Sus scrofa: one gene and its partners. The protein of the gene in region 1 interacts with the protein of each later gene in a pairwise test. Links are inferred from orthologs where the notes say so. Each region holds a gene or a part of one and is shown on either strand. Other genes may lie near its edges.

Evidence for each region.
Region 2: the proteins of RBBP8 (region 1) and RB1 interact in a two-hybrid assay, tested with the Homo sapiens proteins (2 studies listed by BioGRID). The link is inferred for Sus scrofa from reciprocal best matches to the Homo sapiens genes RBBP8 and RB1.
Region 3: the proteins of RBBP8 (region 1) and RBL1 interact in a two-hybrid assay, tested with the Homo sapiens proteins (2 studies listed by BioGRID and IntAct). The link is inferred for Sus scrofa from reciprocal best matches to the Homo sapiens genes RBBP8 and RBL1.

Annotation. Positions count from the first base shown.
Region 1 is NC_010448.4:107,922,662-107,926,416, reverse strand, and holds the start of RBBP8 (DNA endonuclease RBBP8), read right to left. Parts: upstream 2,449-3,755; 5' UTR 2,267-2,448; intron 1-2,266. UniProt on the Homo sapiens protein: Endonuclease that cooperates with the MRE11-RAD50-NBN (MRN) complex in DNA-end resection, the first step of double-strand break (DSB) repair through the homologous recombination (HR) pathway.
Region 2 is NC_010453.5:19,188,524-19,192,178, forward strand, and holds part of RB1 (retinoblastoma-associated protein), read right to left. Parts: intron 3,025-3,655; coding exon 2,882-3,024; intron 2,207-2,881; coding exon 2,157-2,206; intron 109-2,156; coding exon 35-108; 3' UTR 1-34. UniProt on the Homo sapiens protein: Tumor suppressor that is a key regulator of the G1/S transition of the cell cycle. The hypophosphorylated form binds transcription regulators of the E2F family, preventing transcription of E2F-responsive genes.
Region 3 is NC_010459.5:40,272,496-40,276,150, forward strand, and holds part of RBL1 (retinoblastoma-like protein 1), read right to left. Parts: intron 2,631-3,655; coding exon 2,497-2,630; intron 1-2,496. UniProt on the Homo sapiens protein: Key regulator of entry into cell division. Directly involved in heterochromatin formation by maintaining overall chromatin structure and, in particular, that of constitutive heterochromatin by stabilizing histone methylation.

The DNA of each region.
Region 1 (3,755 bases):
CCTTATATAGCCCAATTTTACCTTTTTACAAGTCCTTTAGTAAACAGAATAAATTGCAAGTAGTATTCAGAAGAGTCTGCATGGAGTAGTGAAAAAAATATTAGTCCGGGCTGGTATTAGGAACCTGGGATGTTCTGGTCTCATCTCTACCCTTAGCTTGTATAGTAGTGAGTTAGCGACATTTGGGGGCTTTTTATTCAACTAAAAAATAAGTTGAATTCATTAGTTATTTGTAAAGAGTCCTTGTAGCCCAAAATGTCATGATTCTAAGTGCTTTTGGTAGGAAATACATGAATATATTCAGGAAGGGAAGAGGTTATGTAGTTGTTAAGAAAACTAGCATGGATGACAAAAAGAGTCATTGTATGAAACTTTGTGGCCAGGAATAAAGACAAAGGAATGCATCCTAAACTAGACTTAGGGAATAAAAAGATTTTTAAATGACTAGATCATTTTTTGACCTGGGCCCTCAGATAATACAGGGCTATGTAAAATACACACACAGGCAATCATAGACTTCTAATTTGATTGATTAATCCATATATTCTTAATTTCAATCAAAACATCACAATGTATCAGTATTTTAAAGGAATTAATTTATGGAAAATACATGAAAGTATTTAATAGGACATTCATATATTTGAAACTGGAAATCCTATTAAGGATAGGTAATAGCTGTAGAATCCCTCTCCAAAATGTAGAATCCCTCTCCAAAATGTAGTTAGACTTGAAATTTTACCCACAAATTTTATATGGATATATACATCTAGTTCCTAAATAGCTTTCCTTAAAACCATAAGCATAAAAAATCCTTAATGAATAAATTGGAATCCCAAATTAAGTTTATATTTAAACAGTATTTTAAGCAAGGTTTAAAAATCTTAAATTACTATATATATTTACTCTAAACAGTAAAAGTGTACTCTGTTGACATATATCTACATTTGGCTTGAAAATTAATTGAAAAGAGAAAAACTCAACCAACTAAAATTTTTTATCTATATTCTCCAAAAATTGTCAGAATACAGTTTATGCTGAATCAGCACATTACTTTTGCAGATTCAATATTACATAGCTTTTTAGAAATTTAGCTGATTATCAGAAGTTTTATGCAGAATTGCCTTGGGGTAGGACTAAACAGCATGCAAAAGGTTTCCCTGCAAAAAATGAAATCACATCTGAACATTCATCCTCACTTTAAAAAAATTCTTTATTAGCATTCTAAGGAAACATATAGCCTTTAAGTTTGAACATAATGACAAAGTGAGGGCTCTATAAGGACTATGAAAAGGATGCCTTAGTATTGCTCAGTTCAAGGAAAGTCATGTGATGGCCTGGAGATAGTCCTTGAAAATATTTAGTATAAATCTGTTTTAAAAAGTTATTTTAATTTCCAGATAAATTTCATATGTCAGCTGATACGTTAAGTTGAATGCCCGGAGGATGTGTGCACTCAATTCAATCTAATATTAATAACTAAGGGGGTAATTTGGTATGCCAAAACAAATCTAAAGGGCTTGATAATTTTCATTTTAAATGAAACAGGTTACTAAAATAAATTATTTGGATCAATGAAAGAGAGAGAGAAAAGAATTATTTTAAAATATAAATTAAAGGAAGACCCAAATATTCTTTAACCTAAAAAGGTTTTCAGACCTAATAGGCATGACAAAACCTGTCTTCATTCCTTTCTATTCAGCTCAGCAAGTGCTTTTGAGCTCCAATAGTTAATCAGTTACCAGATTCCACAATCTTTGTTTTTCACACTCCTCATTTCTTGCTGTGAATTGTTCTTCTAAAGTACTTAACGATCACCAGGCAGGCCAGCACTATTTTTTATGCCTTAAAAAGGCCATTATTATTTTATCCACAATTAGATTTGCCATATAAAACATTACCATATAGCAACAGCCTGTAAAATATAATAGTATGTTATCAAAGAAGTAGATGGCTTAAGATGAATCATTATATTAATAGGTAAAATATATTTAGCAAAATTATTCAACCCACTTTTCTTAATGACTACAGCCATGCCCATTTTACAAAGACTTATAGCAGAAGTGTATTATATACCAAATAACCTTTATCTAAACAAATCAATGAACATATGTACAAATATTATAAGACAGTATCTAACCAGCTTTATATAAAAGATAGAATGCAGGTACTACCGTGTTAAAAATAGATTATCTTAAACATCATTTCTTAATTAACCTTCTGAAAGTGCTTAGAAAATTGAGAAAGATAAAAAAATACATTAACTTACCCTTCAATTTACTTAGAAAACTTCTGCTCTTGGTCAAAAGCAGCAGGTGTTTCACTGCTGACTTTCCCTACAGCTATGAACGTACACAGTAAATCAGTGGGAGACACCTCTCTGGACCACGCTAGATTGCTAGACACCACTGCTGTGTGGAAGAGTTCTGCTGCATCTAAGCTATATAAGGTTTGCAATGGATAACCTAATATGCCTTTCATTTAACTGGCTGGGCAGGTTTCTACCGTCTGTGGAACATGGAATCAAACCAGAATATGTTGGCACAGCAGGCCAGTCAGACCGGTTCTTCTGTAGATCCAGAACCCGTCCAACCAGTCTGCATCAAAGGCTAGCCCAACAAGCTGCAGCGGCTCAGCTCTGCTAAGCTTGTACCAGGTAAGTTATCCCCACCTCCCGTCAACTCCCAACAAACTGCTCAGAATGTTGTAGCCTCCAGCAAAATAATTCAGAGTTCCAGTGGGAGGGGTAGATCTGTGTCAGGTACAGCAAGAGTCCATTGTTATAAACCTCTCATTGTAGATAACTTGAGTGTCTACCATCCTCAGGGGCAGGTAATCCATTTTTAAATGTACTCCAGGGCTTTGCAGACTAAAGCCTCTAGAAGATTACAATGAAGAAGAATCCATAATACCTTACCTTTCCACTAGTCCACTTGGTCTTGCTCAGCTTTGAAGTGGCAGGGAGGATGTCGATATTCCCCACAAGGGCAGTAGCCCTGAGAGTTTGAAGGAACCCTTTCTAGAGGGAGGAAAACAAGATGTGGGTTGACCAGACTTTTGCCTGGGTGTGTTATCTTCCTTGTACTCAAATGATCTTCATACCATTCCAGTCTAAAATTGGAAAAACGCCTATTTCTACATACTAGGACAACCTGGAGAGGTTTTACTTTGGATATTCATCAGTTGAACACAAATTCTTGAAAATGACTGTGTGCCACAAACTGTGCTAGGTACAGGATTATAATGGTGAAAAAAGGAAAATTTAGTAAGAGATGGGATCAGTGTCCAAGTTGCCACCTAAGTGTGTCTTCTAATCTTTTGGATGGAGGAAGTGAGCAACACAAGATCACATTTTGACAGAAATTTATTTGTATTAAGGGAGATCATGTGAGATTTTTTTCTTACTCTCATGATATTTATGCATTTAAAAACAGTCTTTCCTATCTACTGATGGAGATTCTCCAGCTTTCCTGTTAAATATAATCTGAAGTGTTGATTAAGAACACAGATTATTGGACCTCACCTCCTGAGATACTGATTCAGTAGGTCTGGGATGTTACCCCAATACTTCAGGTGATCCTGCTGTAGTTGTTACAGGGACCTAGGCTCAGCCTCCATGTTTAGCTTCTTTTCTATTTTGGTACCTAATTAAGTAAACTATATATTAATTTCAAGATGCCATATTTATCTTTGTGTCTTCAGTGTCTAGCGCAGAAACTTAGAAAGTATTTAATAAATGCTCACTGAGTAAATATCTA
Region 2 (3,655 bases), on another chromosome or scaffold:
AGGTGTACGGGCACCCCCCAAGATCGCGGGGCCCTCACTTTTCTTCCCTGTTCGAGGTATCCATGCTGTCATTCATTTTCTGCTTTTGCATTCGTGTTCGAGTAGATGCTAGAAAAAAGAGGAAGAGATGTTAAAAGTGCTGACGGCGCCGGGTCGGTTGAGAAAAGGCTGCCACATATGTTCATGACAAGACTTCTAATTTTGTCTTCGTTATCATATATCCTTATCGGTAAATTTTTTTCCAGGCATGTACCCCCAAAGTATGTATGTATTTATGTATATGTACATAAATCATAAGGCACATGTAGCCCACGTGTTAAAAATCGATGAGATTAAGATAAATATTCTAGCATTTTCTTTATGTACACCAGAAGGTGGTCTTACACACACAGCTGTGCCCAGCTCTGTGGACCGCGGTTCGAGAGCGCGCAGTTCAGTTTGGCACTTGAGCAGAACAAGTCCTGAGCTGGTTCCGAATGAGCTAAGCTAAGCATTCCCTCGTGTGGGGTGAGGCGTTGCAGGTACTGCACACAGATCTGCTCACAGCTCCCTTAATTTCGACATGGACGTTTTAAAAGTACATCATTCATGACAGCACAGACAAAACCAGAATGCTGCTTTTAAATTACTTTAAAATTCTTAACTTGATTTTAGAGGTGGCCAAGAGCTCCTCCTAAAGAAGCACGAAGAACATTCACCCTTGGGAAAGCAAGAAAGCGGTGACGCCACGTCTGCCCTTCCGGCCCTGCCCCTCGGAGCAACGCAGCCCTGTGGGATGATCTTTTCCGAATGCAATTTTTTGAGGAAAGCTGAAGAGCAGCCTGGAGAATTCCTTCGCTTCATGGGTCAAAGCCCCTGCTGCCTCTCCCCGATTTTCCAGCTGCACAAAGGCCCTGAACTTGAGCCTGGCAGAGGGAATTCACCAGCACAGCTAAGTGTGTCACTGGGAAATGTACTGACTGCAACAACTGAACCCTTCTATAAGAAAATATACATGTTTTTACAGCTTTCTGCTCATTTTCAAATGCATATTTGTGGGCTCCAAAATGCTTCCACATGTTTTTAAGGCCTGATCTTGGTTATAAGCTTCACCTCTCTTTTCATGTGCTTGGGGAAAGCTACAACTACTGGAAAGTTAAAACAGGCATATATCAGTTGATGTAAAACCCAAAAAGATTCATTTATAACCAAAACACTTAAACTTGTGGTATATTTAACAGTAATCTTCAAAATAATACACTTAGAAAAAATGGTTTAAAAAACCAAGAGTATTTTAAAAACTACTTCATATTTTAAAGTTAGTATCTACAGAGAGGTACTGAAGGAAATCCCGTTTTTAAAAAGTCACATTTTAATTGATATTGTCCGTATAGATATGTCCTATGACCTAGGAATGATAGTTTTAATTCTTATCATCTCCCCAATATATCTGTCTTCTTTCCAAGACCCGTCTCTGTTTCCTGTTAATGGAGCTGGCACCACATTATCAGGAAAGGTCACACTCGCCCTCGTGGCTACTGCTTGAAGACAGCGCCGGAGCCCCAAGTGCTCAGGGGCACCTTCATCCTTTTCTGAGTGAACCTTCCACCTACTCCGCGTGGGTTCATCTTTACAGTCTCAGAGGAGCTCAGAAGAGAATCCCATGTGCCTTAACATTCCAAACTTCTGTCACTCTCTATAACTGCGAAAATGACCTGGTCAAAATTTTGCTTGTCAAAATTCTGATTTCAGGTAATGGAAAACTTTTGTTTGCGATTAAGTTCTAAAACTTGCAAATTAGGAAAGTTCAGTAATATCAGAAAAAAGGTGATGTTTACATATGGTAGGTTTATAAGGTTTCCCCGACATCCAACACTCTTAGACAAGAGTTCCTCATTATGGTTCTGCCAGCCTAGAACATTTTCTGACCGCAGCCATTCAAGCTGAAGGTGTGGTTTCTCTTCTTAGTCTTCCCACACAGTCGGTTCGAGGAAGGCTGCCTTGTGCCATACATTTCCTCCCCAGATGGCTGTAAATAACACATTCTTGACTGAACTGTATTTTAAATGCATGAACAAATCTGCTAATTGAAGGGGTCGTATAAATTTATTCTTTTGTAGTATGAAAAGGCTTTCTGCAACAATTGTTCCTGTGCATTAGGTGAAATAAGTACTTACTCATTTCTGCCAGTTTCTGTTGAAATTTAGACTCTCCCGGGAGATGTTTACTGCAGATTTAAAACATGAAAAATATTTCATATGTATAAATGGAAAACTTAAATTTCCAATAACTATGGTGCTTTTGATAACTTTATGCCCTTATTTTAATCAGTAGCTTTTAAGTTCAAAGGTTTATAAATCAAGCATCTAAAATATAAATATCACAAATTTCTGGGCCTACATATTTTTCAGTGGTTCTTATAAAACAGTGTTTTTCAAGAGTAAGCATTTTAAAATCTGTTAGTAAAAACAATTTTTTTTTTTAAAGCTGACAAAATGTTACCAATAGTTTTGTAGAAAATGATTGAGGCTTTTTTTTTTCTTTTTTCTTTTTTGGCTGCCCTGAGGCATGTGGAGTTCCTGGGCAAGGGATCAGATCTGAGCTGCAGTTGCAACCCAAGCTGCAGCTGTGGCAATGCTGGATCCTCAACCCACTGTGCCGGGCTGAGGACTGAACCCGCGTCCCAGCGCTGCAGAGACACAGCCCATCCTGTTGTGCCACAGCAGGAACTCCCATCAGATTTTTAACATCTGATATTTTCAGTGAATGTTGGTAGATTTCCGTGGTGCTTTTTGCTTTGGGATGCAGCCATCCTTCCCAAATGAGTTGGCATGAGGGGACCGTGGAAGCCGGCAGCAGGGAACCCCTCAGCTCCCGGGAGACATTCTAAGACCACCGCTACCTTCCATCTGCTTCATCTGCTCCTTCGATGTCAAAGCGCAGCTTTTTCAGAGGTTTAGGAGGGTTGCCTCCTTCAGCACTTCTTTTGAGCACACGGTCGCTATTACACACCATCTGATTTATTTTCTGGAACTTCTCCGAAGTCTACGAATTACAGAATTCTTTATTTTAAATCATTGAATGCCAGCATTTTGTAGTTAGCAACCCCTAATTGTAGTCTGAGGTGGGTCAAAAATCCGGGACAGGTAATATCTGCATTTTAATTTTCTGTTTTATTGGGCCAAATAAGAAATAGGTGCAATTACTCTGATTTTGAGATTTTTCCCTAACTGCCCCCATTAAATACCTCCTGTCTCCTCCCACACAGCAGTTCCTCTTCCACCAACAACTCTGAAGTCCTATTTCCTCATTTTCAGACTTAATTACACGAACAACTAGGTTACTTCTCAGTATCAGTTAAAGCTGGAACAGCTTTAGGAACATTATCTTTGACAGATTCCCTTTAGAGCACAGCAGAGCCAGGGAGGGTGTCACAATCGCATGAGAGGTGTCCAGTGAATAATAATTTTGGACTCACTTCATGGGTACCAGGTGGACAAGTCATGTGGCTTAGATATTGTAAACCATCACTGATACAGTATTTGCTGATATCCTAACTCAAAGTTTTACAAATATTAAGTATCCCCCCAGAAACAAGCATTTGAGTCTATCCAGTATCCCTAGAGACGATGTCTCCCGAGAGGCATCCTGTACCAGCAAAGGAGATTTTGTAAGA
Region 3 (3,655 bases), on another chromosome or scaffold:
AGGGATAAATATTAACCATACACTAGAGAAACAGGATAACATCTTCAGCAGATGATCAAAATTAACATCAGAGGTAGAACATCTCATTAACAATGAGAGGTAGAAGGATATCATGTACCTCTAAGATATGAATACTAAGGACACAAAAGCACTTATGCAGTTTTCCATCTGGGAATGTAAAACTTGCATCTAAGCATAAAGAAACATGAAATAAATCCAAAGCGAGGAACAATCTATTAAAAAGCGGGGGCAGGGTGGTTGTGAACTATACTCCTCAAAAATATCAACGTCATAAAAGATAAAGGCTGTGGAAATGTTCCTCATTAAAGAAGACTGAAGAGACACAGTAAGTGAATGCATTACCTGATACTAGAATGGAATTTTTTTTTTTTTTTAATTTTTAAGGAAAAAAAAAAAAATCCTGGAGTTCCCGTCATGGTGCAGTGGTTAACAAATCCGACTAGGAACCATGAGGTCGCAGTTCGATCCCTGGCCTTGCTCAGTGGGTTAAGGATCTGGCGTTGCTGTGAGCTGTGGTGTGGGTCGCAGATTTGGCTTGGATCTCGAATTGCTGTGGTTCTGGCATAGGCCGGCGGCTACAGCTCTGATTAGACACATAGCCTGGGAACCTCCATATGCCGCAGGAGTGGCTCAAGAAAAGGCAAAAGGCAAAAAAAAAAAAAAATCCTATAAAGAATGTTACTAGGAGCTCCCGTTGTGTCACAGTGGAAACAAACCTGACTAGTATCCATGAAGACAAGGGTTTGATCCCTGGTATCACTCAGTGGCTTAAGGATCTGGTATTGCCATGAGCTGTAATGGAGGTCGCAGCTGCAGCTCAGATCCTAAGTTGCTGTGGTTGTGGCATAGGCTGGCAGCTGCAGCTCTGATTCTACCCCTAGTCTGGGAACTTCCATATGCCATGAGTGAGGCCCTAAAACGCAAAAAAAAAAAAAAAAAAAAAAGTTACTGGGAGTTCTCGCTGTAGGGAGGTGGGTTAATGATCTGGTTTATCTCTGTGGTGTTGCCAGTTTGATCCCTGGCAGGCTGCAGTTGTGGCACAGGTCACAGATGTGGCTTGGACTCGATTCCTGGCCCAGGAAACCACGGGTACAGCAAACAAAGGGGAAGAAAAAGAATATTACTGGGAGTTCCCGTCATTGCTCAGTGGTTAACAAATCCGACTAAGAACCATGAGGTTGCGGGTTCGGTCCCTGGCCTTGCTCAGTGGGTTAAAGATCCAGTGTTGCCGTGAGCTGTGGTGTAGGTTGCAGACGTGGCTCAGATCCCACGTTGTTGTGGCTGTGGTGTAGGCCGACGGCTACAGCTCTGATTAGACCCCTAGCCTGCGAACCTTCATATGCCGCAGGAGCAGCCCTAGAAAAGGCAAAAAGACAAAAAAAAAAAAAAAAAAAAAAAAAAGAATATTATTGGAGGAATTCCCTGGTAGCCCAGTAGTTAAGGATTTGTCTTTGTCACTGCTGTGGCTCAAATTTGATGCCTGGCCCAGAAACTTCCATATACTGCAGATGCAGCAAAAAAAAAAAAAGATACTGGATCAACTAAAAAAACTGGAATAGAGATGGTGGATTATATATTATTACATCAATGTTAACTTTGTTGAAGTTGATAACTGTACTATAGTTATTTAAGGAAACACACGCTGAAATATTTATGGATAAAAGGCTATAGTAGACACTACTTAAATTGAAATAGTTGAGGAAAAATACTATTTAAGAGAAAAAGATCAAATGATTTAGCAAGTAAGGTAAAATGTCAATAAAAGGTGAATCCCGGTCAAGCATATATATATGGATATTCTTTGTAGTTTTATTTTTGCAACTTTTCTGGAAGCTTAAATTATTCTCAAATTTAAAGTATTAATGAAAGAATTACAGATAAAAAAGATTTTTTTTGTCTTTTCTGGGGCCACTCCTGAGGCATATGGAGGTTCCCAGGCTAGGGGTCTAATTGGAGCTGTAGCCGCTGGCCTACACCCAGCCACAGAAATGCCAGATCCAAGCTGCGTCTGCGACCTACACCACAGCTCACAGCAACACCAGATCCTTAACCCACTGAGCAAGGCCAGGGATCCAACCCACAACCTCAGGGTTCCTAGTCGGATTCGTTAACCACTGAGCCACGACGGGAACTCCAAAAAAGATTTAGAAGAGAGGTCTCTGAAGTTAGAATTTGAGGAAGAGGAGTTTTCATTGTGGTGCAGCAGAAACGAATCCTCCTGTGGCATAGGCTGGCATCTGTAACTCCAATTTGACCCCTAGCCTGGGAACCTTCATTAGCCACGGGTCTGGCCCTAAAAAGCAAAATAAATAAATAAATTTGAGGATGAGGAAGAAAGGCCGAGGAAGAATATGAGAACTGGGAAAAGATATCCATATGATAAGCTTAGAATGGAATGAAGTTAAATAATTTAAAATAAAGAGAAATTAAATCTAGGACTTATAAAGCAGTATTTAAAAAGTCAAAGTGCTTTACCTTAATTTAGCTGAACGTAGTATTCTGGTAAGTGAAACACAATTTCCTTCCATGATACCCTTTCCAACCGTGGGAATAATGCTTTTGCGGCATGCAACATATAATGAACATGCCAACCAGTGTATAACTTCTCCCTGACAGGCAAAAGACAAACAGTAAAATGCATATATTATGTTAAAATGCCTGACTTCTAGAACCAAGAGAGATCTTAGAATTATTTGGTCTAATTTTCATCCTGTATTAACAGGCCAGAGAACTGAAGATATTCGCCCAAGATCAAAATGTTTAGTTAACTGCAGTAATGGGTATAAAACTCCTTACACTATGTTCTACATAACACACTAAACTCATTACTAATCGAAAGAAAGATCTCTCACCTATATCCCAAATCTGACATTATTGAAAGAGTTCTCTTAAAATTTCTCAGCATTAGCTTTCTCGATTTTATAACACCAGTCATGGCCTTGATGATGCTGAAGTTCCTTTCTACCATTTTAATCCGTTTGGCAGAAAAAGGAAGAGCAGAAAGTTCGTAAGGGAATTACACATAAAGAAATTAAATACACATAAAAGAACATGTGGCTCAGGGGAAACAAACCCAACTAGTAACCATGAGGATGTGGGTTAGATCCATGGCCTCACTCAGTGAGTTAAGGATCTGGCTTTGCTGCAAGCTGTGATGTAGTTCCAAGATTCAGCTTGGATGGGGTGCTGCTGTGGCTGCAGCTCCGATTCGATCCCTAGCCTGGGAACTTCCATATGCTGTGGGTGCAGCCCTAAAAAGACAAAAAAAAGAAAGAAAAGAAATAGTATGGCTATCTTAGCAGATATTTCAATTTACAATGTTACAAAAAAAAGATGACATTTGGGAATTTAACATCTAATTCTCTGCTTTATTTTTATTTATTTATTTTTTGGTTGTGCCCGAGGCATGTGGAAATTCCTAGGCCAGGGAGTGAACCATGCCACAGCAACAACCCAAGCCTGCTGCAGTGACAACACTGGATCCTCAATTCACTGGTCACAAGAAAACTCCTAATTCTCTGCTTTAGAGTTGAGATATCCAAGCTAGACTTTATGACCTCATTGTTAAGCTTTACATGAAATAAGGATTAAGAACTAGACATAAATCTCATAGCACAACATAATACTGTTATGC